Linked DNA regions of Elephas maximus indicus. The protein of the gene in region 4 purifies or fractionates together with the protein of the main gene of each other region. This does not show direct contact. Links are inferred from orthologs where the notes say so. Each region holds a gene or a part of one and is shown on either strand. Other genes may lie near its edges.

Evidence for each region.
Region 1: the proteins of WDR48 (region 4) and ATAD5 purify together in Homo sapiens (affinity purification with western blotting; 3 studies listed by BioGRID). This does not show direct contact. The link is inferred for Elephas maximus indicus from reciprocal best matches to the Homo sapiens genes WDR48 and ATAD5.
Region 2: the proteins of WDR48 (region 4) and PPP1R9B purify together in Homo sapiens (affinity purification with mass spectrometry; 3 studies listed by BioGRID and IntAct, with this or other methods). This does not show direct contact. The link is inferred for Elephas maximus indicus from reciprocal best matches to the Homo sapiens genes WDR48 and PPP1R9B.
Region 3: the proteins of WDR48 (region 4) and PHLPP2 purify together in Homo sapiens (affinity purification with mass spectrometry; 5 studies listed by BioGRID and IntAct, with this or other methods). This does not show direct contact. The link is inferred for Elephas maximus indicus from reciprocal best matches to the Homo sapiens genes WDR48 and PHLPP2.

Annotation. Positions count from the first base shown.
Region 1 is NC_064837.1:26,696,700-26,703,825, forward strand, and holds the start of ATAD5 (ATPase family AAA domain-containing protein 5), read left to right. Parts: upstream 1-4,114; 5' UTR 4,115-4,133; coding exon 4,134-4,199; intron 4,200-6,844; coding exon 6,845-7,126. UniProt on the Homo sapiens protein: Has an important role in DNA replication and in maintaining genome integrity during replication stress.
Region 2 is NC_064837.1:43,471,322-43,478,325, forward strand, and holds the start of PPP1R9B (neurabin-2), read left to right. Parts: upstream 1-3,994; 5' UTR 3,995-4,488; coding exon 4,489-5,874; intron 5,875-7,004. UniProt on the Homo sapiens protein: Seems to act as a scaffold protein in multiple signaling pathways. Modulates excitatory synaptic transmission and dendritic spine morphology. Binds to actin filaments (F-actin) and shows cross-linking activity. Binds along the sides of the F-actin.
Region 3 is NC_064839.1:38,713,104-38,720,802, forward strand, and holds the start of PHLPP2 (PH domain leucine-rich repeat-containing protein phosphatase 2), read left to right. Parts: upstream 1-4,695; 5' UTR 4,696-4,750; coding exon 4,751-4,849; intron 4,850-7,699. UniProt on the Homo sapiens protein: Protein phosphatase involved in regulation of Akt and PKC signaling.
Region 4 is NC_064845.1:1,148,754-1,155,657, reverse strand, and holds the start of WDR48 (WD repeat-containing protein 48), read left to right. Parts: upstream 1-3,886; 5' UTR 3,887-3,931; coding exon of another isoform or gene 3,932-3,979; intron 3,980-6,904. UniProt on the Homo sapiens protein: Regulator of deubiquitinating complexes, which acts as a strong activator of USP1, USP12 and USP46. Enhances the USP1-mediated deubiquitination of FANCD2; USP1 being almost inactive by itself.

The DNA.
Region 1 (7,126 bases), on a different chromosome or scaffold from region 4:
TCTAAGTATATTATAAACTCTAAATGACTATAGAAACATGACAATTCATTTAATTTAAAATTAATAAATGCCAGGAGCTCCTAATTAAGGGTTATGTAAAATAATAACCACATTTATAAAAATAAACTCAGTATAAATGCTTCATAATTCAGAAGAATAAAAAGTGCCAGAGATCCAAGGCACAGTTGCTTTCTATTTGCACGGAGCAACAGAGGAAGAAGGAGAGTCAGGAATAGAAGGAGGAAATGGATGTGTGGCTAACTGCCTCAATGAACAACTGCCATCTCTGCCATGAAACCAGAAGAACTGGATGGTGCCTGGTTACCATTACTAAACATCTTGATCAAAGGTTCTTTAGAAGATTCCTGATCAAGAGGAGGGAAATGTAGAACAGAATTTCAAATTCTCATGGAATCCATACTTTCTGGAGCCACGGAGGCTGGATGAATCCCTGAAACTATTGTCCTGAGATAATCTTTGAAACATAAACCGAAACCAAAACTAGCCCCTAAAAACCAAACAGAAGTTTACCTTAAATAATAAAGAATGTCTGCTTGAGCGTTGTGCTCTTTTCAGATCTAGCTATATGGGATCAAATTGACAACAGCAATTGGAAAGGTCAGATAGGAAGATTAGGGGGCAATGAGTTTGTGTTAATGGGGGAAGAAAAACTCAGAAAAGGAGGATGAGAGCGGTTGCACAGCTGAAAGAATGTAATCAACGTCACTGAATTGTACATATAGAAACTGTTGAGTAAGTGTATGTTTTGCTATGAATATTCTCAAAGAACCAAAAATAAAATAAATTATTAAAAAAAAAAGCACTAGAGACATACCTTGTTGTTGTTGTTAGGTGCCATCGAGTTCGTTCTGACTCATAGCAACCCTATGCACAACAGAACAAAACACTGCCCCATCCTGAGCCATCCTTATAATTGTTGTTATGCTTGAGCTCATTGTTGCAGCCACTGTGTCAATCCACCTCGTTGAGGGTCTTCCTGTTTTCTGCTGACCCTGTACTCTGCCAAGCATGACGTCATTCTCCAGGGACTGATCCCTCCTGACAACATGTCCAAAGTATGGAAGACACAGTCTCGCCATCCTTGCCTCTAATGAGCATTCTGGTTGTACTTCTTCCAAGACAGATTTGTTCATTCTTTTGGCAGTCCTTGATATATTCGATATTCTTTGCCAACACCACAATTCAAAGGCGTCAACTCTTCTTCAGTCTTCCTTATTCACTGTCCAGCTTTCACATGCATATGATGCAATTGAAAATACCATGGGTTGGGTCAGGCGCACCTTAGTCTTCAGGGTGACATCTTTGCTCTTCAACACTTTACAGAGGTCCTTTGCAGCAGATTTGCCCAATGCAATGTGTCTTTTGATTTCTTGACTGCTGCTTCCATGGCTGTTGACTGTAGATCCAAGTAAAATGAAATCCCTGACAACTTCAATCTTTTCTCCGTTTATCATGATGTTGCTCATTGGTCCAGTTGTGAGGATTTTTGTTTTCTTTATGTTGAGGTGCAATCCATACTGAAGGCTGTGGTCTTTGATCTTCATTAGTAAGTGCTTCAAGTCCTCTTCACTTTCAGCAAGGAAGATTGTGTCATCTGCATAACGCAGGTTGTTAATGAGGCTTCCTCCAATCCTGATGCCCCATTCTTCTTCATATAGTCCAGTTTCTTGTATTATTTGCTCAGCATACAGATCGAATAGGTATGGTGAAAGAATACAGCCCTGATGCACACCTTGCCTGACTTTAAACCAATCAGTATCTCCTTGTTCTGTCCAAACAACTGCCTCTTGATCTCTGTAAAGGTTCCTCATGAGCACAATTAAGTGTTCTGGAATTCCCATTCCCATACTTTATACCCCACCAACTTCACTTCTAGATGTCTATCCTAGAGAATCATTACACGTACTCAAGGAGACATGGGCAAGAATGTTTGAATAACAGAAAACTGGACACAACCTAAATATTCATCACTAAGGAAACAGATAAAATGTAGTGTATAATTGGATGGCATACTTACGAATGAAAGGAGATGAATTAGATCTACATGCATCATAGATAGCTCTCAAACAATGGTGTGTGAAAAAAACAAATTGCCGAGGAATATTTACAGTGATACTATTTATATAAATAAAAACCATGCTAAAGATTTCCTATGGATACCTGTACGTAAGTATTAAAAAAAATATTACATTGCTACATACCAAATAGCTAGGAGTGATTACCTCTGGGGAGGAGATCGAGTTGGGGAGTGCAAGTCAAAAGAGATTTATAGTTTGCTCTGTAATTTTTTTGTGTGTCTTCTTTTTCTTCCTCTTCCACATTTTCTCCTTCTTCTCCTCCTCCTTTTTCAGGGCAATGTATCTATACTACGTGAGTTATTAGAAAAAAAAACAACAACAAAACGGTATATTCTCAGAAGACTGAAAGTAGTACAATCTTCCCCTCCTGACAAACCTTATTTGGTACTAATATTCAAGGGAAAAGTAATTCTTACTAATTTTATTGGGGAAAATGCATATGTGCTTATAAGTAGGAACTCTGGTGGTGCAGTGGTTAAGCATCTGGATGCTAGCCAAAAGGATGGTAGTTTGAATCGACCAGCTGCTCTTCGGAAACACTGTGGGGCAATACTACTCCATCCTATAGGGTCACTATGAGTCGGAATTGAGTAGAGGGCAACAAGTTTGTTTTCTTTGTTTGTAGCTCACCGCTGTGGAGTGGATTTCAATTCACAGCCACCCTACAAGACAGAGTAGAATCGCCCCCATAGGGTTTCCAAGGTTGTAAATCTTTACAGAAACAGAGTGCTACATCTTTCTCCTGCTGAGCAACTGGTGGGCTCAGCCACCAGGGTTCCTAACTCACTCTAAGACAGCACCAAAAACCATAAAGATGGGTACAATTACTTCAGTATTTAAAATCACTTTGCATAACCCGATCTAACAAGGTGGCTTCCCATTATTAGTTAAGTCCCTTTACCTGCTTTGTATCCGCTCTTACTTATTTTGCAGTTAAAACTATCCTCTCAAAAGAAATAAACATACACTAACCCAACCCAGTGCCCTCGAGTCCATTCCGACTCATAGCGACCCATAGGACGGAGTAGAACATACACTATGTGTAGGCACTTCAACATTAACATAACAGAAAAGTAAAGGCTAAACAAGTCCATGAAAACAATGCAAATGACGCACTAGGTTACCATCACTACAAACCAGCAAACTACTGGTACCTGCGAGCACTGAACACACGTCAACCAGTTGAGGCGGTGAGCTCGGGCTCCTGGACTGCTCACGAGGACGAAATCCACAGAAAGAAACGCCTCTTCAAATTAGGGGTATAAAGTCGAAATGTCGGGCCCAGAATAGTATATCTGATGTGGGACGCATACCAAAATATTAACATTTTATCTGAGTAGTAGGAATATAATCAATTTTTTTTTTCTGTAATTTTCAAATTTCCAATTTAAAGAAGGGGCTAGTCCGGGTCAAGAGTTCAGGGTTTTAATTCTGCCACCAACTGACTAGGTACCTTCGTTCAACCACATTCTCATCTGAAGCCGGGCTACTGGACACCAGAAGGAAGAATTTGCACACTCCCCACTGGCTTTACATTCCGTGATACAATGACCCTGCCTCCCGCCGACTCGCCGACGACAGTGTTTTGGCCCATTCAGCTCACCGTCCGCGCAGGCTTCCAGAGCAACCCTAAGCTCCGCCCCCTCCGCTCAGGACGGCGCGAAAACCCAATCGACGAGAACTTCTTGGGAAGCCCTCCGGTCCGGTCTGCGTTCGGTCTGCTTTCCCTGCCCCGGCTCCGGTCCCGAGCACTCGGCCTGGGTCGTCCGCCCGGAGGGGTCACCCCGCGCCTACCGGCCGCGCCCCGAGTGCCTCGCCGCCCGCGCTTTCTCAGCGCTCCTTCCCGCGTTCGACTTGGCTGAGCTGGGCCCGGCCTCCGAGCCCGCTCCGGGCCGGTGGGCGCAGGGGAATCCGAGACGGACCCCGCGGCCCAACTTCGCGCTCCTCCAGGAGCGGGCCGCCTCCATGGCCGAGACGCTGGCCGACCCGGTCCGCGCAAGGTCCTAGGAGCAGGGGCACCGGGAAGCGGCGAACATGGTAGGGGTCCTTGCCATGGCGGCGGCGGCTGCTCCCCCTCCAGTCAAGGACTACGAGATTGAGGTGAGATCGAGTGTCTGTCGAGTTCTCCGGCTGTTGGAAAACGGGTGGTGGTAATCCCGACTTTGCATCTCAGAGGGGAAAGGAGGAACACGGAGAGGCCCCCCAGGAATGACATCGTGTGGAACAGTTGCTGGAGTGTGTCGTTCTTAGAGTCGTGATGAATTCCGACAAACCCTGGTATTGTGAGATGTTTAGAGAATTGCAGTAAGTTAGGACTTAAGATACCATGGCCAGTGCCCAGATTCTGAAATATTGGTGGACTGTGATGTTTTGGACTTGTGAGATGTCACGGAGGATCCCATGGTCAGGTTCTGGGTTCATGATATGGAATCCTAGAATTTGAGTTGAAAAAGAGCTTTAAGTCCACCTATTTTATCCTCCCTGTTCTGGGAATGCCACTTACAGTGTCACTGCCAGAATCAAGCAGGGTAAATCTATTACCCATGGCTCTAGATCTTAATATACTGCAGTTGGAAGACCCAGTGTGCCGTGCTGATGTTTGTTCGTCAAGTTTCAGTGAAATACTCTAAGCATTCTTTATAAACCAAACCTGTTGCCGTCTAGTCGATCCCAACTCATAGTGACCCTATAGGACAGAGTAGAACTGCCCCATAGGGTTTCCAAGAAGCCGCTGGTGAATTCCAACTGCCGACCTTTTGATTAGCAGCCTAGCTCTTAACCAATGCAGCACCAGAGCTCCAAGCATATTTTGAAAGAAGATTCTAATACCAGAAAGTAGCAGGCCAGCATTTTAAGACAGACATTACATCTTTACAACTTTTCATCTCGTGTTAGCATTCAAACTGAAGTATGTGCTCTGGTGTCTTGAATGAACCCAGATGTACACTCATTTAAGGGGGATACTTGTTTGCTAGGTCAAGGCAGTTACTCAGATTATCTAGGTATGAAGAAGGTCTTCTGATACTTGAATTACACAGTTCTTGGCTTTTTGTGTGGTCACTTTTATCAGTCTTCGGGTTATGGTTTCTGCTCTTGGTGGCCTGCTTAGAGAGCCTATTTCGTAATAGTGATATTCACTGTTAAGTATGGTAAAGGGAAAGGCTTTATAAACATTATTTTGCTTAACGTCAACCCTGTAATGAAATATTATTATTTCTATTCTACAGATGAGAGAAGAAGATTTAAAAGTTTAGTTTGTTTAAGGTCTCACATTAGAAGATGTCAGAGCCAGCACTCAAACTTAGATCTGCCTGACTCCAGAGCATATAGTATAGTGCCTCTTATACCATCTCAGGGTTATGTAAATACTCATCAGTATTTTCTTCTAAAATGTTTATGATTTCTTTTTAACATATACAGATTTAATCCCTCCGTAATTTATTTTGCCTCGTATTTATCCAAATGGTTAGAAGTTGTCTCAATACCATTTATTAAATACTCCTTCTTTTGTCACTACTTTATTTTCTAAGTTCTTAAATATATACTTGTGTCTATTTCAGGTGTTCTAATCAATTCCATTGACCTGCCTACCTATTCCTGCTCCAGCACTACACTTTAAATCATGATAGCTTTATATAATTTTAATTTTCTAGAAGCCTAACTCCTCTATTCATTACTTACCTTTTAAAGGATTTCGTTGTTATTTTATTAAATTTATTCTAACTAATGAACTGAGGGAAGTTAAAATTAAAAAAAAAGAAAGACTGATGGTGCTTTTTGTAACCAATAAGGTAATATTTATTTTCTATTATGTAAATTACTGACTTATAACCAATAAAAATTTAAACATGCCTAGCATTATAGTCATCTTGATATTGTAAAGGTAATAACTAACGTAAAAGAAAGGCAGCAACGGTTTTAACAGCAAATTAAAACACTAGACTTGTAAGTGTTCTTTTGGTGAACTTGCACTGTAATTTCTACTTGATTAGTAAATTTTGGGATCCTAGGCTTGATGACTATGTCCCTGTTTCTTAGCAATAGTTAGGGTAATGTGCTTATTTTTAACTAAAAATAATAAAAAGGGAATATAATATGTGTAGAGTTCCTACCATCGTCAGACTACATATTTTTGTGTAATGTGTTCAGTACAATTTTTAAGGTGGAAGGTGCTATCTAAAGTTTATAGAGTAAACAGAGACTGAGAAGAATTAGGAATTTGCTCATAAGTATAGTAGGCTTGGATTTTTTTTAATGTGAACAATTTTTTAATGTAAACAAATATATATAAGGAGTCCCTGGGCAGTGCAAATGGCCAAGCGCTTGACTACTAACTGAAAGATTGGAGTTTCGAACCCACCCAGAGGCAGCTTGAAAGAGAGGCCTGGCGATCTGCTTCCAAAATGTCATAGCCTTGGAAACTCTATAGAGCACACTTCCACTGTGCAACACATGAAGTCTTCGTGAGTCAGAATCAACTTGATGGTATCTTGCTTGGTTTTTTGTTTATAATTATATATATACAGTAAAGCACACAAGTTTTAAGGTAAATCATTGGGACATTGAGATTTCAATATAGATTTAATTTTAAAGTTCATATTCTTTCCAGTATATCATGCTCGTCACATAAAGGAGCCTTCCTTTCTTTATCCGATTACTTTAAATATTAGATCCGTGTCTTAAATTTATATTTTGTATTATTTTTCTTGAAATAAGTGCCTCTTTTCCTTCTTTTAAATCTACAGCCATGCAAAAAGCGAAGGAAAGATGATGATGGATCTTCCTTTAAAACAATTACGAAATATTTATCACCAATAGAGAAGACTGGAGTTAGAGTTTTCTCTCCACCAAAATCCAATAATATTCTGGATTATTTTAGAAAAACTTCACCTACAAATGAGAGGACTCAATCAACGAAAGAGTGTAAGATAAAGTCATCTGCACCATTGCCTGTGGACAGTGGCAAAGATTATAAAACGCCTTTGGAACCGTTCTCAAATGTACAGTTTAAGAAGAGAGGAAAGAGA
Region 2 (7,004 bases), on a different chromosome or scaffold from region 4:
ATTCACATTTGAGCTTTGTCAGGAAACTGAGGCATACCAAAAAGCCAAACCCTTTGCCATCAAGTCCTACTCATAGTGACCCTATAGGACAGACTAGAACTGCCCCATAGGGTTTCCAAGAAGCGCCTGGTGGGTTTGAACTGCTAACCTTTGGATTAGCAGCTGAACTCTTAACCACTACACCACCAGGGCTTCCGAACTGAGGCCTCGGGAGGAGAAGTGACTTGCCCAAGGTCACCCAGCTAATGGGTGGAGCAAGCACTCAAGGCAGGCCCTATGAGTCTCACAACTTTCCTCTTCTCCACTGGCTAAGTCACTTCCTTCTCCAGGTCTGTCTTCCTCATTACCCTGTGAAGAGAGTCAGTCAAAGGCCACTAAAGGCATCCTGGATTTGAGTTCTCCTGCATGTGAGTGTGTACTCACATGAACGCCTTTCTGGCATCTTAAGCTGATGCCCAGATCCCTGGCAGGGGAAGATGGATGGACGAAAGCCGTTGGGGCAGGGACCACTGATCACCACAGCACTGCCAAAGTGCAGGGCCTGGGCTCGCTTCTGCTCAGATGATCCCAGCCATAGAAATGCCACTTTCAGAGGCTGTCTCAAAGCTCCAGGGCTAGGAAGAAAAGCCAACCTTGGCACCCAGCCTGGGCCTGAGCCCTGGGTGCTGAGGGCTTGGAGCTTATCACAAATCAGGCCCCTCACTGCCTTTATCACCCGCCTCTGCAGTCACACCTGGTGTTTGAAACTAGCAAGCCTCCAGGCAGAGCACTAAAGGGACCCTCCCAGAGGGCCTCTATCAGGCCGGGGCAGGGGCGGGGGTGGGGCGTGGAAAAATAGGGAGGGGCTTTACTGGAGGAGGGCTGGGGGCAGTTCTTTGCCTATAGGAAGACTCAGGCTTTTTTGGCAAGGGCTGGTGGCACAGGCAGGCAGCCCTGGCGGCTGCAAGCAGTTTGAGCTGACTACTAACCTAAAGGTTGGTGGTCAGAACCCAACCAGTGGCTCGGGGCCAGTGCGGGGGCGGGGGGGTGGCGGGGAGCAAGGTGATCTTACTTCTGTAAAATTACAGCCAAGAAAATGCTATGAAGTAGTTATACTCTAACACATGGGGTGGCCATGAGTCGGAACTGACTCCACGGCACCAAGTTTGGTGGCACAGGTACCTCCTTCCCCACCCACCTTACCTGTCCACGTCACACAACAAGTAAGTGCTGGAGTCAGGATTTCAACCCTGGCAGTCTGGCTCCTGGGTCAGTCTTGGGTCTCACTCTGCCATCTGTCTGTGGGAAAAGGTAAGAAAGAACTTTCACCCAAACAGAGAAGACCACCAGGCAGCTTAGCCCTCAAGGCCTCCTCCATAAAGGACAATGTAAAGAGAAAGGACGGTTTAATTATCCTGGGGTGCTAAACTGGAGGAAATAGGTGAGGACTGCAGCATGAGAAATGAAAATTAGGTCTAAACCCTTCAGTTTGGATGGAAATCCTCCCAAATGAAGTTCCCCTCCCAGGAGATGAGATTACTGCCCCAGGCAGGTAGGGAGGAGATGGGGGAAGGTGACACCCCATTCTCCACCTATCTCACAGGCCAGCCAGTTTGGTGTCTGACCCTGGGAAAGCGTTTAGCATCGCTCAGAAAAGCTTCTTGGGGAATTCTGGCTGGGGGTGTTGCTAAACTATGAAATAATCATCCTACTCCTTTGCCTCAGTCACCCAAGCTCTGGGCCAGCTCCACCCTCTTGCATCCCAAAGCATTTAAAGGGGTTTCATCCTTGGAAGCCTCAGGATCCAGGCTTCCCAGTACTTCCAATTCATTCCAAGCTGTTGCTGGAAATGTGTTTTTTGTTGTTGTTGGTGGGGGGCGGGGGCCCAGAGTCTCTGGGCTTGTCTCTGAGAACCTTGGCAACTCCTCCCTCCCTCTGAAGGGCCAGGGGTGGGGTGGGGGGGGAGGGTGGTTGCTTCTCCACCTGGCCAGAGGCATGGGCACAGACCCCTTGGGCTGGGAACAGTTACCATGACTCACCACAAAGGGTGTGGTAGATTCTGGGCAGAACACCCAGGGGCCTGTGCCCTCCTCCAACTCACTCGAGAGCTTCTGAGGACACTCTGCCCAACCCCCCAAATCCCAACTGGTTGAGATCTCTCTCCTCCCCCAACTTCCAGAGCGGGTTTGAAGGGCCATGGGAGGGGGTTTCCAGCCCCAACCTTGAGGTTGGAAACCTAAGTCCCAAAGCTTGTTCCTATAAGAGGTCTTCTAAAAAGGGTTAAAAAGGAAGGGAGCCTGAGAGCTTCTTCACCCTGCCTATCCCGAAGTGCAAAATTGGGGAGGGGGCAGTTTCCTGGGCAGCCGAGCAAAGAAGAGGCAGATGACAATGGTAAGCCCGGGTTCATTTCCGGCTCTCCAGCTCAGAACCCAAGTCTTCCCTCCCCTTAGCACCAGCCTCAGGATCCAGCCCTGTGGTTCCTGGCCCCTCCCCATCCCAATATCCAGAGTTCCCAGGCGGCTTCCCGCACCCCACCCCCAATCCTGTACTGAGCTCCTTTGCACGTGCTAACGGGTTAATATCCCACAAAACCCACACACGCCCCTTCAGTGGTGGGGTGCTAAGAGTCCCTTCGCCAACCCTTCCAGACCAGGGGACAGAGAGTGGAAGATTGGGACGGGGAGGAAGAGGACGAAGAGGAAGAGGGCGGGGGAGAAGGCAAAGGCCGCAGGAAAGCCTGAGATGCAGGAAGCAGCTGGGGGGGCGGGAGGCTTTGTGCCTGAGTTGTTCTCTGGGTCCTAGGGTCCACTCCGTTCAGTCGTCTCTGGGATCTGGAGCAAAGCCGAGGCTCTGGGGTCTTGGTTTGGAGTGTACCTCTTCGCACACCTCCGTCCCCCGCCCGGGCAGCTGGGGAGGGGTGCAGGGCAGCCCTGGCCCCCTGTTGTGTGAGTGTTAGGGCGGGAGAGGGGTGTGGGCTGCGAGGGAACATCAAAATAGTTTTCTGGGTTGCCAGGACAGGGCATGTGTAGGTCATTGTGACCTCGTTGCCCCCCCCCCACCCCCACATGCACATAGTGGCCAGGACCCTCTAGATAAGAGACCCAAGTTAGAATTCTCGCTGGGTAAACCTTGGCCACAGGCCTCTAGAATTCCTCCTCCTCATCTCCCCCTTCCTGCTTGAGAGGCGAGTGCTCCTGTAGGGGTAGGAGGAAGGGGTTTGCGACCCCTCCGTTCCAGCCTGGGGTGCAGACAGGCTACCGGGACACCCTCTACAAACTTCCGAATGGCAAAGGGTAGCTTTCGGGATTTCCTGCCCTTCGGGTGATGGGGACCACCTTCTTTCTCCATTCCTTCTCCTCCTCCCTCCTAAGGCCAGCAACACTGTACCAAGGTTTCAGACATTACGGAGTGCCTAAGATTCCCCAGGAGGAAAAGTGGTAAAATGCAGAATCCCGGGCCGCTCTCTGAGCTTCTGATTCACAAAGTTTGAGGGAGGGCCCAGAATCTGTGTTTTTACCAAGCCCCAGTGATTTTGATAATGACAGCTTTGAACAACACTAGCGAGCCTTAAGGACCTGGAAGAAAATGATCCTTTGCCCCTTCCTACCTATCCCCCTTCACGTTGGGGTGGAGAGGGGCCCCACTAAAACCACTGTGGTTGGTCTGCCCTACCCCCAATATTTAATGGGGGTGCGGTTATGTGGGTTGTGATAAACCGCAGCCAGAGGCTGGGATGGAAGGGTCGCAGAGGATTGAGCAAGGCCTGAGGGCAGCGGAAGGCTTTCGGCGAGGGACCGGCAGGGGAGGGGATTTATTTGGGTGTAGGGGAAGGGGTGGGCTCACAGACTCTGGCCCCGGAAATCCGATCCCTCTAGGACCCAGAGGTGCCAGTCCCCCAGCGGCGGCGGCGAGAAGGGCAGCCGCTCGGTCTCCGGCAGCCGCCGCTCGGGCACAGCGAGAGAAAGACCGGAGCTCGGGGCGCGGGGGGGAGGGAGGGAGGGAGGGAGGCGCGGCGGCGGAGCGGCCCCGGCCGGCGGAGCAGCCATGGGCGCCGGGGTGCCCGGCCCCCGGAGAGCCGAGGCCCCCGGCAGGGGTGGGGGACGCCCGGGCTGCCAGCCCCGCTGACACCGCCTCGGAGGATGTGAGCCGGCGCCGCCGCCGCTGCTGCTTGGACAGGGCGCGCCGTCCCACCGGCCTGGCCGCCGCTTTTCTATTTTAGGTGGGGGCGACCGTACCAGGCCGCTTGGGCTTTTTAAGAGGGTCTGACTGTCTTTGGCAGCTTGATTTGGGAAGGCTACCCACACAGGACGCCCGGGGATTTTTTCCTTTTTTTTTTTTTTTCCTTAAACAGGGTTAACTGTTTTTGGCAGCTTGGTTTTTGGGGGAGCCTAGAAAAGGCCTCTCAGGGTTTCTTTTCGGGGGGAGGGGGACAGTGGTCCCGACTTGGCCACCCGCCTGTTGGCGGGGGAGAACGGGGAGCAGGGGGATGCGAACCCGGCTCCCCCCACCATGATGAAGACAGAGCCGCGGGGGCCCGGGGGTCCCCTCCGGAGCGCCTCCCCGCACCGTAGCGCCTACGAGGCGGGCATCCAGGCGCTGAAGCCGCCCGACGCGCCCGGGCCGGACGAGGCACCTAAGGCAGCCCACCACAAGAAATATGGCTCCAACGTCCACCGCATCAAAAGTATGTTCCTGCAGATGGGCACGACGGCCGGGCCGCCGGGCGAGGCGGGCGGCGGCGCGGGCCCGACCGAGGCCCCGCGGGCGCCCGAGCGCGGCGTTCGCCTGTCGCTGCCGCGGGCCAGCAGCCTGAACGAGAACGTGGACCACAGCGCCCTGCTCAAGCTGGGCACCAGCGTGTCGGAGCGCGTGAGCCGCTTCGACTCTAAGCCCGCGCCCTCGGCGCAGCCGGCGCCGCCGCCGCATCCGCCCTCCCGGCTGCAGGAGACGCGGAAGCTGTTCGAACGGAGCGTCCCCGCGGCCGCGGGCGGCGACAAGGAGGCCGCGGCGCGGCGGCTGCTGAGGCAGGAGCGCGCCGGCCTGCAGGATCGGAAGCTGGACGTAGTGGTGCGCTTCAACGGCAGTACCGAGGCGCTGGACAAGCTGGACGCCGACGCTGTGTCGCCGACGGTCAGCCAGCTCAGCGCCGTCTTTGAGAAGGCCGACCTGAGGACCGGCCTCCACCGTGGGCCCGGGCCCCCCAGGGCCGCGGCCGCCGGGGCTCCGCAGGTCAACTCGAAGCTGGTCAGTAAGCGTTCCCGGGTGTTCCAGCCACCGCCGCCACCGCCCGCCCCGTCGGGGGATGCCCCGGCCGAGAAGGAGCGCGGCCCCGGAGGGCAGCAGCCCCCGCAACACCGAGTCGCCCCCGCCCGGCCGCCCCCCAAGCCCCGGGAGGTGCGCAAGATTAAGCCGGTGGAGGTGGAGGAGAGCGGGGAGTCGGAGGCCGAGGCGGCGCCCGGGGAAGTGATCCAGGCCGAGGTGACGGTCCATGCGGCCCTGGAGAATGGGAGCACCGTGGCAACCACAGCCAGCCCCGCGCCCGAGGAGCAGAAGGCCCAAGCGGCCCCCGACGAGGCGCCGGCGTCGGCGGCTGTGGCTGTGGCTGTGACAGATAAGGGGGTCGGCAATGGCCGGGCCCCAGACTTGGCCCCTGAGGAGGCGGATGAGTCCAAGAAGGAGGACTTCTCCGAAGCCGACTTGGTGGACGTGAGCGCTTACAGCGGGCTTGGGGAGGACTCTGGGGGCAGTGCCCTGGAGGAAGAGGACGAAGAGGACGAGGAGGATGGGGAGCCCCCCTACGAGCCCGAGTCGGGATGTGTGGAGATCCCGGGGCTCTCGGAGGAAGAGGACCCGGCCCCGAGCCGGAAGATCCATTTCAGCACGGCGCCCATCCAAGTGAGTGAGCGCCCCCAACCCCCGGCCACCCCTGCGCCGCCCCTGCCACGTGCGCGCCGACGCCCCCACCCGGCCGGCCTGGTTTGGCAGGCTGAGTCAGCCCCTGCCACCCAGCCCCCTTCCCAGAAGTTGCCACCCTGAGGGGGGCGTGGGGGAGTTCCAGCTGTTTGTCAGAGGGGGATGATTTCCAGGCCTGGGAAGGGGGTGGCCTGCCCCGACCTGCCCTCAGGTGCCCCACCCGTCCTGCCCTATGCGGGTGCTGAGACACCTGCTTTGCCTTTTCTCCCAGACCTTCCTTCCTCCAGGGGCTGGGGCTGGGGCTGCCAGGGGCAGAGGCTTGGCTGGTGGAAAGGCATACGTGTGTCCTCAGGAGAACCCTCCCCCCCCCCCCCCCCGCATTTGTCCTACCCTACTCTGGGCGCGAGGGGGCCGGGGGAGCTTGGAAACACTCCTTCGTTTCCCCCACAGACAGGAGCTGGATAGGGTGAGGGGGGCTGAACAGAGGCAGGAGAGAGAAGGAAGGGGAGCTGGGAACTTCCCAGAACGAATGAAGGGGCAGGACACTGCAGCCCTTCCTCCATCGTGCCTGTAGCCCCCACCCCAACTTTGCAGAAGTGAAAGGGGGAAGCAGGTCTGTCAGGGTGCACTGAACTGGGACCGTGTGACTGGGGGTGGGGGAAAGGCTTAGGCTGGGACTCAGTCACCTGGGGGTCAGTGCTATTTCAAGCTACCAAGGTCCAGTTCCACAGGGAGGGGCACTTTGTGTGACCTGCTAAAGGGACTAGGCCATCTCTAGGGTGTGAAAGAGGAGGAGGTGGGGAAGAGGATGGGGTGGGGAGTCCCATACAGGTCTGAGGGCACCCAGCAGTGGCTGGCATGCCTTTGGTCATGGCTTCTCAACAGGACAAACTCCCCTGGCCTTGGCTAAGGCAGGCCTTGAGTGTTCTTGCCACATTCCCTGGGTGTCCTGAAGGAGGGGTTGAGCTGCCTGCCCCTTTTGAGCTCCTGTTGGCTCCCAGCACCACTATTGGTGATTGGTTTGTGGGCTGTGCCAGTGCTTGGAGATCTTCAGAACAGCACCAAGGGGGAGGAGTGTGTGCAACATTCCCTGGGGAGAACTAAGAACCCCG
Region 3 (7,699 bases), on a different chromosome or scaffold from region 4:
TCTGTATACTCATGAGTTTGGGAGTGGGGAGAATCACTGATGAGAGAATTGCTCAGAAAGTCCTGAAGTTTAAAACGCTTTTGACCAGCTTTGGCTTGGGAAGGTGGGGCTGCTCCTAGAACTGGATGTGAATAACTCTTTGCAAGCAATAGCAGTAAGTAGGTTCCATCTACAGGTTCCAGGATGTGGAACACAAACAGAAAAAAAATGCTGAAGCAGCTTGCACAGCTGCTTCACAAACTTCTGCAAGGCCAATCCTGGCTTCAAGATGGAGCATTCGAGGTTTATTTTTGCTTGTTTCTTGTTCTTTTTTTTTTTTTTTTTAAGAGCCTTCTGTTGAGCTGTGTGCGTGTGTGTGTGTGTGTGTGTGTGTGTGTGTGTTTCTTTTCTATTTGGGGGCCTCATGGGAAGGAGCTTCTGAGTTCTTCCTTCTGAACTCTCACTATGTTCCCTTTAAGTTCCTTTTCTTTTATGATGTTGTAAGTTACATTGAGCCCCATCACATCTTCTTTACTGTAAAAATATTAAAAGGCTGTTTCCAAGTGGGACGGCTAACGAAGTTCTAATTATTGCAGACATATTTTTGAGATGTAAAAAAAAATTTAAATGATAAGTCTTGGAGGCGAGTGAGGAATAAAATGGATGTAAACATTTACATGGGATGCATTAGAATTCTGCTGTGTGTATTGTCTTTTGGTTGAAACAAATTATGAACAGTGACTAATAATAAAAAGTCAATACTCAATGATTTAAAATCTGCTTCCTTCTTCAAGTAAGTTAGAAGCCTTGGGTGAATTCTTATTCCAGAGCTTTGAGCTAAACTTAGTGACCTGGTACTGTTTCTTTTATAATCAGAAATCTCACCAGGAGAGGAATTTGAACAATTTTAAAACTACTAGGTATTAGTAATGAAAAAGTCTTAAGTTCAGTTGGAAATTTCAACCATAACATGATTAATTACATGCTCATCTTCTCCACATATGTGAATTCTCAAGGCAAAAAAAAAAAAAAGGTGAAATGTGTATTAGGGGTGGTCATGGGTTTTAATCGTATGTTTCTATTTGTGAATTATTCAGGTTTATTTGTGACCAGGAAGAGGAGGGCCGGATCAGCCAAAATGAGTTTTTATTTTATGGTCTATTTTATATGAACTCTTTTCTGTAGAAGTGAGAGTGGTTGGAGGTTGGAAGCTTCAGATTTTCTATTACTCTGATGAGTCTATTATTCTGATTCCCTTGATTGGGAAGGGGAAGGGCGTAGGCCTTGGCAATTACCTAGTTTGTGCAGAAGTGCCCTTTGGAACTATTTGATAAGCAATATTTCTATAGTCTTTCCTTTTATATGGTTTAAATTCATCCTTGTTTTTAATATTAAACTTAATACCTTCATCTACATGTAATTAGATGAAAATACAAAAGCTACAGTAGAAAAGCCTAGCCAGTAATGGACTCCAGAAATTTACTCAGCAATGCAATGAACAATATTTAGATTTGAACCTCAGCCCTGAAAAGCCGAATTCATTTCTATTCCATAGTTTTCCACAGTTCAGTTGTCCCTATTTTTGAAAAATACAGAAATGTTCATAGGGTAAATTTTCTTCAAACCCTGAAGCCAGGTAAACGCTGCCTGTTTGTCTGAACTAAAATAAGACTAAATTTGTTCAACCTGTGGTAGAATAAGGAATTCAGGCAAAAGTTGACGTTGTGATCATAAAAAGAGTGGGAGCTAGATACAGCTAAGTGATTGTAGTATCATATGGCTTCTCTACCAGAATCTGATAGACAAGAAAGACAAGAACTTTCTTTTTCCAGATTTTCTTCCCATTTTGCAGTGAAGATTAGGAAAAGCTCTGGGGTGGGTAGGTGTGTGTGTGTGTGTGTGTGTGTGTGTGTGTGTGTCCTGAGATGATGAGAGCGCACAGCTGCTGCAGGAAGGACACAGAGCAGGGAGGACTTCTAATGACTGCTCTGCTTCTTGGCTTGATCCAAACTGATTTTTGTAATGATGAACCTGCAGTGAGGGCAGATGGATTTTTGCACAAAAAAATCCCAGATGAATTTATTTTTAGGGTTAGTCTCAGCTGTTCACCATTTCCAGAAATTGTAGTTACATAACCCTTGGCAGTCATAATGCACACTGCCTTGAACTGAAAGACACATGAATATGTGACCTTAGCAGCAAAGTATGAAATGTTAATGGTAATATATGACTTGAAAAGAAAACTCTATATCAACTGGTTGTCACTACTGAACTGGAAATCTGGATCTTAAATCATGGGGACCTTTAAAGGGAGCGGCATTATATACATCATCCCCTGAAACATCCTGCTGGTGGCCTTTTTTTTTTTTTTCTTTTGGAAGAGGTATTACTCTGAATTAATCCTTTAGCCCACTATCCCGTCAATGAGAAAACAAGTCAAAGCAAAAAAACCCAACCATTTACCAGTGCTATTCCCCAGCAGGAATTCAAATTCTGGTCCTGGGACAAGATCTTTTCCCTTCAGGTGATCAAACAATAAAGAATTTGTGCCCATGAGATGTGGAAAAGGTAATATGTAACAATATCTCCAGAAACAGGCTTTTAGAAACATTTATTCTGAACACATTTTTATTCTAACTGCTGCCTTTGCCCCTTGGTCAGATTACTTCTGTGTCTATACTGGTGCCTATTCCTTATACACCAGTATTCTTGCCGGAAGAATTAAGCACTAAGAGGGGTATGTGACTAGTCTGAGTAGCTTTCTTGAAAGCAAGTTAACAGTAGACAGGGGTGGGTGGTGGTGGTGGTGGTGGTGAGCCAGCAAGTCAACAATACAAGAACTTTCTTCGCTTTTCACCAGGCTCTCAGAGATGAATTTTAATTAATTAAAATGAGACAAAACAAATGAAGCTTAATGGTGATTTGAATTTTGGTATATTCAAAATGAAGAGAAATTAGTCACCATCCTTTTACAGAAGTAATAATTGGTACAGGGTCAGAGTCTTTGCAAGAGCCAAATTTTGTTTTGGAATTTAAAATATCTCCAAATATCACATAGTAGAGAAGGAAACAATGCACTGTTAGATTTCAGCCTTTCTTGTATTAGGCTTAAAATTAAAATATTTTAGATGGTTGGCCTGAACTAGGCAAGGTGAAGCAACGGATAATAGGTAATGCCATCTTTGCCATGTATTCAAAGTTCAAGACATTATTGGTTTTCTGCTGTTAAATTCCTTACAAGTTCTTTGAAGATTCATGGATACCTGTGTAAGAGGGGAAGGTCTAAATATCTAAGAAGTCCAGAAGGCATCCTAGGAAAAAATTTTTTTTTATAATTTATTTTTGTTCTTGAGAATATACACAACAAAGCATACACCAACAGTTTCTACATGTATAATTCAGTGACATTGATAGCATTCTTCAAGTTGTGCAACCATTCTCACCCTCCTTTTCTGAGTTGTTCCTCTGTTAACATAAACTCACTGCCCCATAAGGCTCCTATCTAAACTTTCAAGTTGTTGTTTCAATTTGATCCCATATAAAGAGGTCTTAAAAGAGCATAATGCTCAAGGCATTCTTTACTAGTTAAGCTAAACTATTGTTTTAAGAAGATTCCAGGGAATATTTTTGGCTTAAAGATTATCTTAGGACAATGGTTTTGGGGGTTTATCCAGCCTCCATGGCTCCAGAAAGTCTGGATTCTGTGAGACATCCTAGAAAAATTTAAGAGGAACAAGAAGAGTGCTTTTTGAAAAATCTAGTGAATCTTAAATTTGGAAATTCAGAATTAGAATGGCTACTATAAATTTCGATTTCGACTCATAGCTGGGGTCTGGGTTTTTTACTATAAATTTCGACTATATGTTTAGTGCTTTGTAAGCATTATTCATTAAGTCGTCATAATAACTATCAAGCAGATATTCATCTGTATTTCACAGCTTAAGAACCAGAAACTTAGATCAAGTAACTTACACAAGGGTATAGCTCAAATAAGTGATAGAGCTGAGATTTGAAATCAGGCTGATTCCACATTTGGCCCATTGGTCACAAAACTATCATCACTGTAGGAACTAAAACAAAACGATAACTTTTAAAGATTTTCCGACTTAGCATTGTAAATAATCAATGGCTCACAGACTGTATTACTCTTTGAGGGAGAGAACAGACTTCTGGTAATTTTGCTACAAGAGGAGGAAAGGGAATTTAGATATTGCTGGAAGATGAGTGAACACATTATTTTGGGTCGAATTTGCTGACGAAGGTCGTAAGCCATCTCCAGTAAGGAAGAGAAAGGGCCTCGTTAAGGTATTTTCAACAGTTCTTCCAAGGGCTTTGCAAGTGAGGGTGACAGGCCGGTTTTAAACTAGAAAGGAAACGTTTTAGAGAGCTAACTTACAGGAGCCACCCTCGGCGGACTGCAGCGTCCAGTGACAACTGACAGGTGCAGGCACTAAGGAGGCGGGGATAGCTGTAAATAGCCCTTCCTGCGCCTCAGTCCTCCAAACCCAGCGCGGCCCGCTGCAGAGGCTCAACCCTGCGGCGGCGCCGTACTCCGCCCGCCGAGCCCTCGGCCGGCGGCTCCGCCACACCGGGGCCACCCGGGGCCCGCAGCTACGCAGGTCCGGCGGGGCTGCGGGAGGGGGCGGGACCAGGGGCGGGGTCAGGGCGGGACCGCGGCTCACGGGGGCGGGGCCTCCGCTGCTCGCGCGCGCCGCTGAGGCCCGGCGCGCCGTCGGCCCCGCCGGGCGTCCCTGTGTGGTCTCTGCTGCTGATGGGGGAGGTGGAGCCGGCGCCCGCGGGCCCGCTGGAGCCCCTGGAGCCGCCCGAAGCGCCCGTGAGCCGCTGGCCGGGAGGAATTCGGGTCCTGAAGGTGAGGCGGGCGAGCCGAGGGGGGAGTGAGGGAAGGAGGAGGCCGCCCCCGCCCGGCGCGAAGGCCGAGGCAGCTGGCCACCCCCGCCCGCGGCAGTCAGTCAGCTTGGCGGTCGGCCGCCCCTCAGCCGGCCGCGGCCACAGTGGTCCCCGCCGAGGCCTCCGCGCGGCGCCCGCGCCCGCGCCCGCGCCCCCGCCCCCGCCCGCGCCCGCGCCCGCGCCCCCGCCCAGGCCTCGGCCGCCTCGGTCCTCGGCGCTGCCCATCCCTGGCCCCGCGCCACCCGCCTCGCAGGCCCCCGCCTCGCAGGCCCCCGCCTCCGCTGGCTGTCTGCTGGGCCGCCGTCGCCCACCGGCCTCTGTGGGGCCCCGGGCCGGCCCTGCCTCCCTCGGCCGCCTCGCCGCTGGCCCGAGCGCGGGGCTGGAAGCACGCAGGGCTCTCTCCCCAGACACCTGAAGACATCACCCCAGCGGGAGGATGGCGGCGATGATTGGCCGCGCGCTGCGGTGTGCTCGGGGCTGCGCGGGGCGGAGCGGGTAGACTCTGCCCTCGGGGTTCACAAGTGAAGTTGCCACCCGGCTCCTCGCTCTGTAGACGTCGGCGAGGAAGTACGACCCGCCTCGTCTGGGGAGGAAACCTACGGAGGAGCTTAATTAGGGGGAATCGCTGGGCGTGCTGCGGGAGGAAGGAGGGGCTGGACCTAAAGGGGGCATTCCTGATTGCAGGAGTGGGGCTAGCGATCCGGGGAGACTGTGATGGGGGAGCAGTTATGCAACAGGCAGCAAGCGGGGCTTTTTGGCAGGAATTAGGGGAGTAGGAGGAAATGAAAGCAGATGCAGGCAAGTGGAGCCTTGGAGGTGATGACAAGAAGTTTAAGTGCATATGGAATGTAGGGTGGGGAGGGGCAGTGAAGATGCTTAGAAGGAGGGATTGTGTAGGCTCAGGGGAGTCTTCTACTAGCCTTTGAAATAGTTGGAGAGAAACTTTCTGTATGTCAAATAAGTCAATTAGATGTCCTTCTGGAGGTGGAATGGAATTCATTCTGGAGTTCTAGAAGAGAAGTCGATAGGATTTGAAACTTGCCAGGGAGAAGGAAGAGAGAAAAGAAAATTTACAAGATTTGTTGTGTCAAAAATACCTTGCAAAAGAATTAAAGTATACAATGTTAAAAATGCATTAAGTCATAGTAGTTAATTGGGATTGAGTTTGAGCAGTATGCACTTGTTATTAACATTATTAGTAGGCCATCGCAAAGATGGATTAGAAGGATCTAATGAATCCATGAAACAACATAAACTAGAACTCTGTAAAATATTTAAAAAAGAAAAAAATTCTGCCACTACCTCTCACTCTTAATGCAGGGACTTAAAGTAATAACCTTTCATAGATTATCTCCAATTTTTGCATGACCCTTCTATATATTTATTATAATTTATATAACCATAGGTTGTAAATGTAATTACCCAGAGGTTTTTGGATATTTATTTAAAACTGAAATCACAAAAATGTAAATTGTGAATTAACTCTATTAAAAAATGTTTTTTAACTTCACTCGGCTTATCGGGAAATTGCAGGTCTGAGAGATAGGCAATGCCTTCTGGCCTAGAAGGTAAACACCCTTGCTTTTTTTTTTTTTAATAACTTTTTTGGGGGGTGGGGGATGGGGTGAGTTGTGAGAGGGAAGGAACTGAGAAATGAGAACCTTTATTGAAGACAGTCTAACCCTTCTTCCCTGAGATTCCAATCAGGGGACCATTAGAAAGATTCCAGAAACTGATGGTAATTACAATACTGAGATGGTGTGGGAGGCAGAGTCTTTAAGACCTTTGCATCCTTACTTTATTACATATAAAAAGACCAAACCCCTTGCTGTCAAGTCAATTCTGACTCATAGCAACTCCATAGGACAGAGTGGAACTGCCCGATAGAGTTTCTAAGGCAGTATGTGATCTTTAAGGAAGCAGATTGCCACATCTTTCTCCTGCAGCTGACCTTTTGGTTAGCAGCCGAGCCTTAACCACTGTACCACCAGGGCTCATTTATTGCATATAGTCAACAGTTTAAATAATCCTTGCAAATAATTGGCCCCTTATGGAGGATAGGTGGTATATGTTCTACAACAAAATTTCCCTTCAGTAACCAAGTGGTTGAATTTTGTGCCTAGTGAAACTGGAAAAGAATATTTAAGTAGAAGACTTCTAATTGGGAAGAAAGTCATAATTTCCCACATGTTCACTAAGGACCCTTTGAAAACAGCTTTTCAGTCTGTTTTGTAACTTTTTTACATTTAACAGATCGTGAACATCATTATTGTCAAATTATATATGTAGATCTTCATAAAAAGGCGAATATAACTAAAGTCAGACTATATCTAGGTGCATCTATGTGGGGTATAGGAAAATTTGATTCACAGTCTGTCCCCAGATTTCATTTAGAAAATTGCTATTTAGAATGTATTCTTTTACAGTTATAGTTGGAGTATAAGTATGATATTTTTAATACTCTTAAAAATATTAAGAGTACCTTTGAATTTTTAAAATATTCCAGATGTTTCCTATGATTTTAGGATTATGTTTTATTTAATTTACTCAGTCTATAGAAGCTGTGAAGTTACAACTGATTACTGGTAGTCAGTAAATGCCCTGAAATTTGTTTTTTCAATAATTTAAATTTTTTGTAAGAATAAGTGTGCGTGGTTTTAAAAAATCAATACCAAAAAGATTTTAAGTACTGAAATATTGTTCTCTCCCCATCCCAGCCAACTCTTCTTAGCCCATTCCAAAATATTCTTTAACATGTATATTCCCAGAGATGAACCCATCTTGTTTTAAAAGTTTCAAATGGAGGAACATA
Region 4 (6,904 bases):
ATTTCCAATTTTCCTAGATTCATACTTCGTACATTCCAGGTTCTGATTATTAATGAATGTTTGCAGCTGTTTCTTCTCATTTTGAGTCTTGCCACATCAGCATATGAAGGTCCCGAAAGCTTTATTCCATCCACGTCATTAAGGCTGACTCTACTTTGAGGAGGCAGCTCTTCCCCAGTCATCTTTTGAGTGCCTTCCAACCTGGGGGGCTCATCTTCCAGCACTGTATCAGACAATGTTCTGCTGCTATTCATAAGGTTTTCACTGGCTAATGGTTTTCAGAAGTAGACTGCCAGGTCCTTCTTCGTAGTGTCTTAAGCTGGAAGCTCAGCTGAAACCTGTCCTCCACGAGTGACCCTGCTAGTATCTGAATACCAGGGGCATAACTTCCAGTGTCACAGCAACACACAAGCCCCCACAGTATGACAAACTGACAGACACGTGGGTGATAGAGCACATAATCAGACCAAAGAATCGCATGGGCAAGAGTCCATTGCATTACTTCTTTCACCGTAGAGTGAATTTCTCGGTCAGATGCAATATATCAGATATTATGACAGTGTATAAATCATTTAGTAAACACCCAGATGGCGATACAGAGCCCAATAAATAGAAAATGTTGTCATTTTAACATGTAATCAATATAAAGATTATCGACATGTTACATTCTTATTTTTATACTAAGTCTTCAACATTCAGGAGTATTTTACAGTTACAGCACATCTCAGTGTTAAGTAGATGTATTTCAGGTGCTGCTAGAAGTACAGGGAGCATGGGAAGGAAATCAAAATCTAGCGTAAGCGTCACTCAGAGCGGACAGATAGCTACTTCCTCAACAATGATAGAGGGCCAATGGAAAAATCTAGAGTTAAGTGTCACCTGGAGAGGACAGATAGCTACTTCCTCAATGATGAGGGAGGGCCAATGGAATCAACTTGCCCCCCGAGTGGCTGGCTCACCCTTCAAGGCTATGGGGTAAACCAGCAACTCGGGACTGGTCACTGCTGTTGGCAACTTGAACACTCAGCAATGGCTTGATGATCCCATGCATAGCTTTCAGTCCTGATAGCATCGCCATTTTGTTCATGATTCCACTGAGTAAGCACTGATCCTGAAGGAAGCCAAGTTTCATCCTCAGAGCAGTTTGTTTCATCTGTACAGCTCTTAAGGTTCATTCTAAGAGGCCAGTTACCATATACTTTCCCAAGTCTTCCTTGTCACCAGTTTGTCATGCTTGTTCTTCCGTGTCCTTGAACAGCTGGCCAAATGATTTAGCCTCTGTCCATGAATTGACTGTGAATTACTACCCAAGGCCATCTCTCCTTCCAGGCAAAGTGAACATCAAGATACACTCCTGGACATTCTGCCCATTAAAACAATTTTACAACTTCAGTGTTCTTCAGGGCCAGCCCCAAGGGGCGGGGCGGGGGGGCTACAACAACACAGGAATCCATTTCCAACAGGTACCAGCACGTTGTGGAGAGTAATGTACCTGCACAGTGCCTGGCATATCATGGCTACTCAATACATTTTTATTAAGAAAAAAAAATGCAGATCATGTCCCTCCCCTCTTAAGTCCTTTCAACAGCTTCCCATTGGCTTAGAAGACCCTGCTGGGTGTGGTCTCTGTGCTCCTCTTTGATCTGCCCAGCAACCACAGAGTGAAGGCCTGGCAATCTACTCCATAAAATTACAGCCATTGAAAACCCTACCGAGAGCAGTTCTACTCTGACACACATGGGGTCACTGTAAGTTTGAATCAACTCCAAGTAGTAAGGGTTTGGGTGTTTTTGTTTTTTCCCCTTGGTTGCTCTCTGTACTCCAAGACTTGGCCTTTAGTTCTTGAAATGTTCCATGCTCCCTTCTGCCACAAGATCTTTGCTCAGACTGTTCCCTCTCCTTGTCTAGTGAACTACAGCCTTTAGATCCTGGCTCAAGGATCCCTTCCTGCTGTACAGCTCTTTCTTCAGTACTTATCTCCACATTCATTTATACGTTTGTTTAATTAATCCCTGTCTCACCATGGAACTCTAAGTCCTATGGCTAATGTGCACTCACCACTGAACCCCCAGCACCAAATACAGGGCTGGGCACTTAATAGATGCTAATAAATGTTTTGAATGTATACATGGATAAATGAATCAATGAGTCTGTAATAAAATGCAGTCCATGTAATTTATCTACAAGTTATCACCGCCAATTTTGCCTAACAGGCTTTCTGTCATCAGTTTCTGCTCCTCTAATTCAGATTTCTTTACCGATTTTTTAAAAAGGCATTTGCCAGGAGGTTCCCTAAGCATTATTTATACATTAGCACTATGCAATAGAGAAGAAGTCCTGGTGGCACAGTGATTAAGCATTTGACTGTTTACTGAAAAGTCAGCAGTTCAAAGCCACCAGCAGCTCCAGGGACCATAAAGACTACAGCCTTAAAAACCCTATGGGCACTTCTACCCTGTTCTTGAACAACTGGCCAATTTAGCCTCTGAACCTGAACTGACCATGAAGGCCGTCTCGCCTTCCAGGCAAAGTAAACATTAAGACATGCTGCCTGATGGGGTCACTTAGTCCAATATTACAGCCTTGGAAACCTCATAGGGCAGTTCTACCCTGTCTATAGAGCCACTATGAGAACAGACTCAATGGCAACAGGTTCTGCAACAAAAATATAACATGAGCCACGTGTTATTTTAAACACTCTAGTCAAAAAATTAAAAAAAAAACACCGCCATTCAGTCAATTCCGACTCATAGCGACCCAATAGTCACATTTACAAATGTAAAAAATTTTAGTAACACATGCTATTTAACCCAATATATAGAAATTAATATTTCAACACGTGATCAATATAAAAAATTATGAAAGAGGTATTTCACATTCTTCTTTTGCATTGTCTTCAAAATTGAGTGTGTACTTGAGTTACATCACGTCTCAGTGAGCTGGCCACACGCGCCTGGCGGAGCCCGCACGGAACTCAGTGGACGGAGCAGTTCCACGGGGTCCACTTTCCGAGAGAGAGCTCCGCCACCCTCGGCACCTGTCATCGGTGTCCGGAAGACCTGAAGCTACACTTTGACCCAGAAGAGGTGACCGGGACGAGGTTCCAGAGCCGGCCCCGGCTCCCTCGGGCTCTGCAGACGTCCCTGGGGCGCCTTTTCTCTCCTTTGTGGGACGGGACGCCTGTTCGCCTGAAGACCGGCCTGCCTCCTTCCCAAGGGCGGCCGCTTCTCTCCTCCCAGGCCAGGTCGTTGTTCTGCGAACGTCTAGGTGCCTCCTTCGCGGCCAAGCAGTCGGCTCCCTGGCTGCCGAGGAGTCTCGCCCCCTACCTGGCCTCAGCGCTCTGCCCGAGGACCGCCCCAGGGAGCGTGCAAGCCGGGGTGTGGGGCCCCACGGCGGAATGCGCTTGCTGCCTCGGCTCGGAGAAGCGGGTGGTCCTCCGCCGGCGCTGTGCCCACAGGAAGGCTCTGCTTCCACGAGACCGCCGCGCGCCCCGAGCCCGGCCACGGCGCGGAGCCGCCGCCGCCGCCTCACGCACGGCCGCCGCCGCCTCACGCACGGCCGCCGCCGCCGCCGCCGCCGCACGCACGGCCGCCGCCGCCGCACGCACGGCCGCCGCCGCCGCACGCACGGCCGCCGCCGCCGCACGCACGGCCGCCGCCGCCGCACGCACGGCCGCCGCCGCCGCACGCACGGCCGCCGCCGCCGCACGCACGGCCGCCGCCGCCGCACGCACGGCCGCCGCCGCCGCACGCACGGCCGCCGCCGCCGCGCGCCCTTCCGCCGCCGCCTCACGCACAGCCGCCGCCGCACGCACGGCCGCCGCCGCCGCACGCACAGCCGCCGCCACCAACCCCCGCCCGAGGGGAAGGGGCAGGACATCCGCTCGGCCCGCGCCATTTCCGGAAGTGACGTCGGAGTGTCAACATGCAAGATGGCGGCCCATCACCGGCAGAACACGGCCGGGCGGCGGAAAGTGCAGGTATGGGAGCCCGGGTCCTCGGCCTCTCGGACCCGACTGCCCGGCCCGGGGCCGCCTCCCGCCAGCAGATGCCTCAGGCCGCGGCCGGCGGGGAGCGGGGCGGGGCGCGCGGGCCCGGGCGAGCGGCGGTGAGAGGTGGGGCCGCGGCGCTAACGGCTTGAGGAAGGGGCGGGGGCGGCGCGGACGCAGACTCGGGGCCCCCGGGGCGCGCGCCCTGGAACCCGGGGCGGCCGGTCGCCCCTTCTCCCGGAGGATCGGGCCCGCGAGGCGGTGGGCGCGTCCCCTGGCCAGCCGCCTCCCCTGCCCTGCCTTCCCCGAGGCGCTCTGGCCGAGGCCTGCGGGGCTTCCCGGTGGGCGGGCGGGCGGCGAGCGCGGGGACCCGGCGGGGCGTGACGGGCGGCGGGGCGCCGACGACCCCGGCTTCCGCGGTGGGGTCCGCACGGGGAGCCCCGCCACCTCTGCTGCCGGAGCTCGCTTCCCAGTGAGGGGCAGCGGCCGGCCGGGTGTTGGTGGGGAAATGCCGGTTTAATTTCGTTTTCAGCGTTTCTTCATCTTCATCGTACATCCCTGAATCTTTCTTTTCTATTTTTATGATTTATTATCCAAGGTGAAAGAATTATCTAATCATTCTGCGTATGCTTTATGCCTTCGTGAATTCGTTTTTATTTTGGGTAAGCGTAAGAGTTCTTGCTATTTTTTCCAGCAATGCAGGGAATAATAGAAGACCTATTTCAGGTGTTTGCCTGCAGGTATAGTGTATGCAGTAGTGGCGACATGGTACGTTAACTATTTGTCCAGCACTTAATTTGAATTCAGAAGTATGCAAAGGTTTGAGAAAATGTAGGAGTAAGACCCAGGCTTTCTTGACAAAACCCACCATGATATGTCGTTCTGCAGGTTGAAATCAGTGGGTGTTTAATAGTCAGGACAAAAGGTGCCTGCAGTAAGGTAACCCCAGGAAAAGGGTGTGAGGCATAAAGTTTTCTGAGGCAGTTCCACTCTTTGTTTTATTGATCTCTTTGATCAGGACGGTGTCTAAAGTACTCATTGGATATTTGTTGAATTGAGTGAAATTACTAAGAATCTAAATCCCCTGAAATCACGGTGTAAGGTGATCGTAGGTGGTGACACTGTCTCCTCCCAACTAAAATGTAACCCAGAATTGTAACTTAATTGTGTTGCAACTGGACAGCCTGAAGTCGTGGTATGTAATTGACCAGATGATTTTTCCCAGGGAATCTAGGTGGTTAAGTATTTAGGCAACACTAATCAAGAGAAGGAAACCCTGGTGGCGTAGTGGTTAAGTGCTATGGCTGCTAACCAAAGGGCTGGCAATTCAAATCTGCCAGGCACTCCTTGGAAACTCTATGGGGCAATTCTACTTTGTCCTATAGGGTCGCTATGAGTCGGAATCGACTCGATGGCACTGGGTTTGGTTTGGGTTTGGAATGGAGAGAAAGGCTTGACGACTGGAGGAACCAATAGATGGTGGTGCTCTTCCAGATACTGGAATGGTACACTCCATAGGGGAGTAAGGGTTGTTAAAGAGGCCTCTTAGTGCCCTTCGTTTAGATGTAGGAGGCAACTGTGAAAGTCAAGATGTGAAAGACTTAAGTTAACTGCCGTACAGGTGGAAAACTGTTTTAATCCCAGTGTGAGCCCACACAGGTAGAATGAGGGAGGTGATAGTTCCAGACTGCTTGTCAGAGTACAGACCTAGCGTTTGGGGCTGAGAATTGAGCACCTTGTTCTCAATAAGTATAGTAACCAGATTGGTGAACTGACTTGAAACTAAGATTAGCCTGCAGAAGAGAAGATTCGGGGGCCTTGTCAGCTGCTTTCAGAGCTTGTCCACAATGTATAAAAGCAGTGTGAGAAGCCACAGAGATTGATATTTTATCTCTACCTGAGAGAGAATTTTTGTTTGTTCTGAGAAGTGTTTTTAAAACTAGTGCACGTGCATTGCAAGAAACCTACAAATAATAAAAAAGGTATAAACGATAGCTGCCCTCCACTCAAAGAAAGCTACCATGAGTAATGCGATATATGATTCTAAACTAGGATTTCTCAGCATGAGTATTACTGACATCTTGGGCCGGATCCTTTTTTGTAGTGGGAAACTGTCCTGTACGTTGTAGGATATTTACCATCATCCTTGGCCTCTGCGCAATGCTAGTAGCACCCCCACACTTGGGACAACCAAAAATGTCTCCAGACATTTTCAGATGTCCCCTGGCAGTCCAAATTACCCTGATTGAGAATCACTGTTCTTTACCTCTTTGTGTACCTGACATACAGGATTTTTCACTATAAATGGAGCCATCGTGCCTGCTATTCTGCGTCAGAGTTATAAATGTACGTTACCATTGCCCAGTAATTTCTCTTCTGAAAACCTCTTCTGCAGAGATACATGTGTGTATACCTTTCTCTACTTGTGCAAGGGTGTTTATTGTAGGAATCTTATCAGTGTGAGAAAGTGAAAAAAATTTAAGTGTCCATCAGTGGAGAATTGACAGATTATGGTAACATGTCAAGACACAGCTGTTGAAGAGATAAGCTAGGTATGTACCTATTAAGAAGGAAAGGTGCCCAGAAGTCAAAAAAGCAAGTCAGTATAGTACGAACCCATTTCCACAAAGGAAATACTGCATTTTAAAAGCCTGGAAGGATACTGACTGTCAGTTACCACTGGGGGATTGGATTGTGTGATTACGGGTAGGACAGGAAACGGAGTCTCTGTGTGGTGCAGAAGGTTTAGTACTGGGCTACTAAGGAAGGTTGGCAGTTAGAACCCCCCCGGGGCACCTTGGAAGAATGTCCTGGTGGTCTACTTCTGAAAGGTCACAGCCACTGAAAATCCTACAGAAAGTGATTCCGCCCTAAAACACCTGGAATCGTCTCAGTGGCAGCCGATTTGGTTGTTTG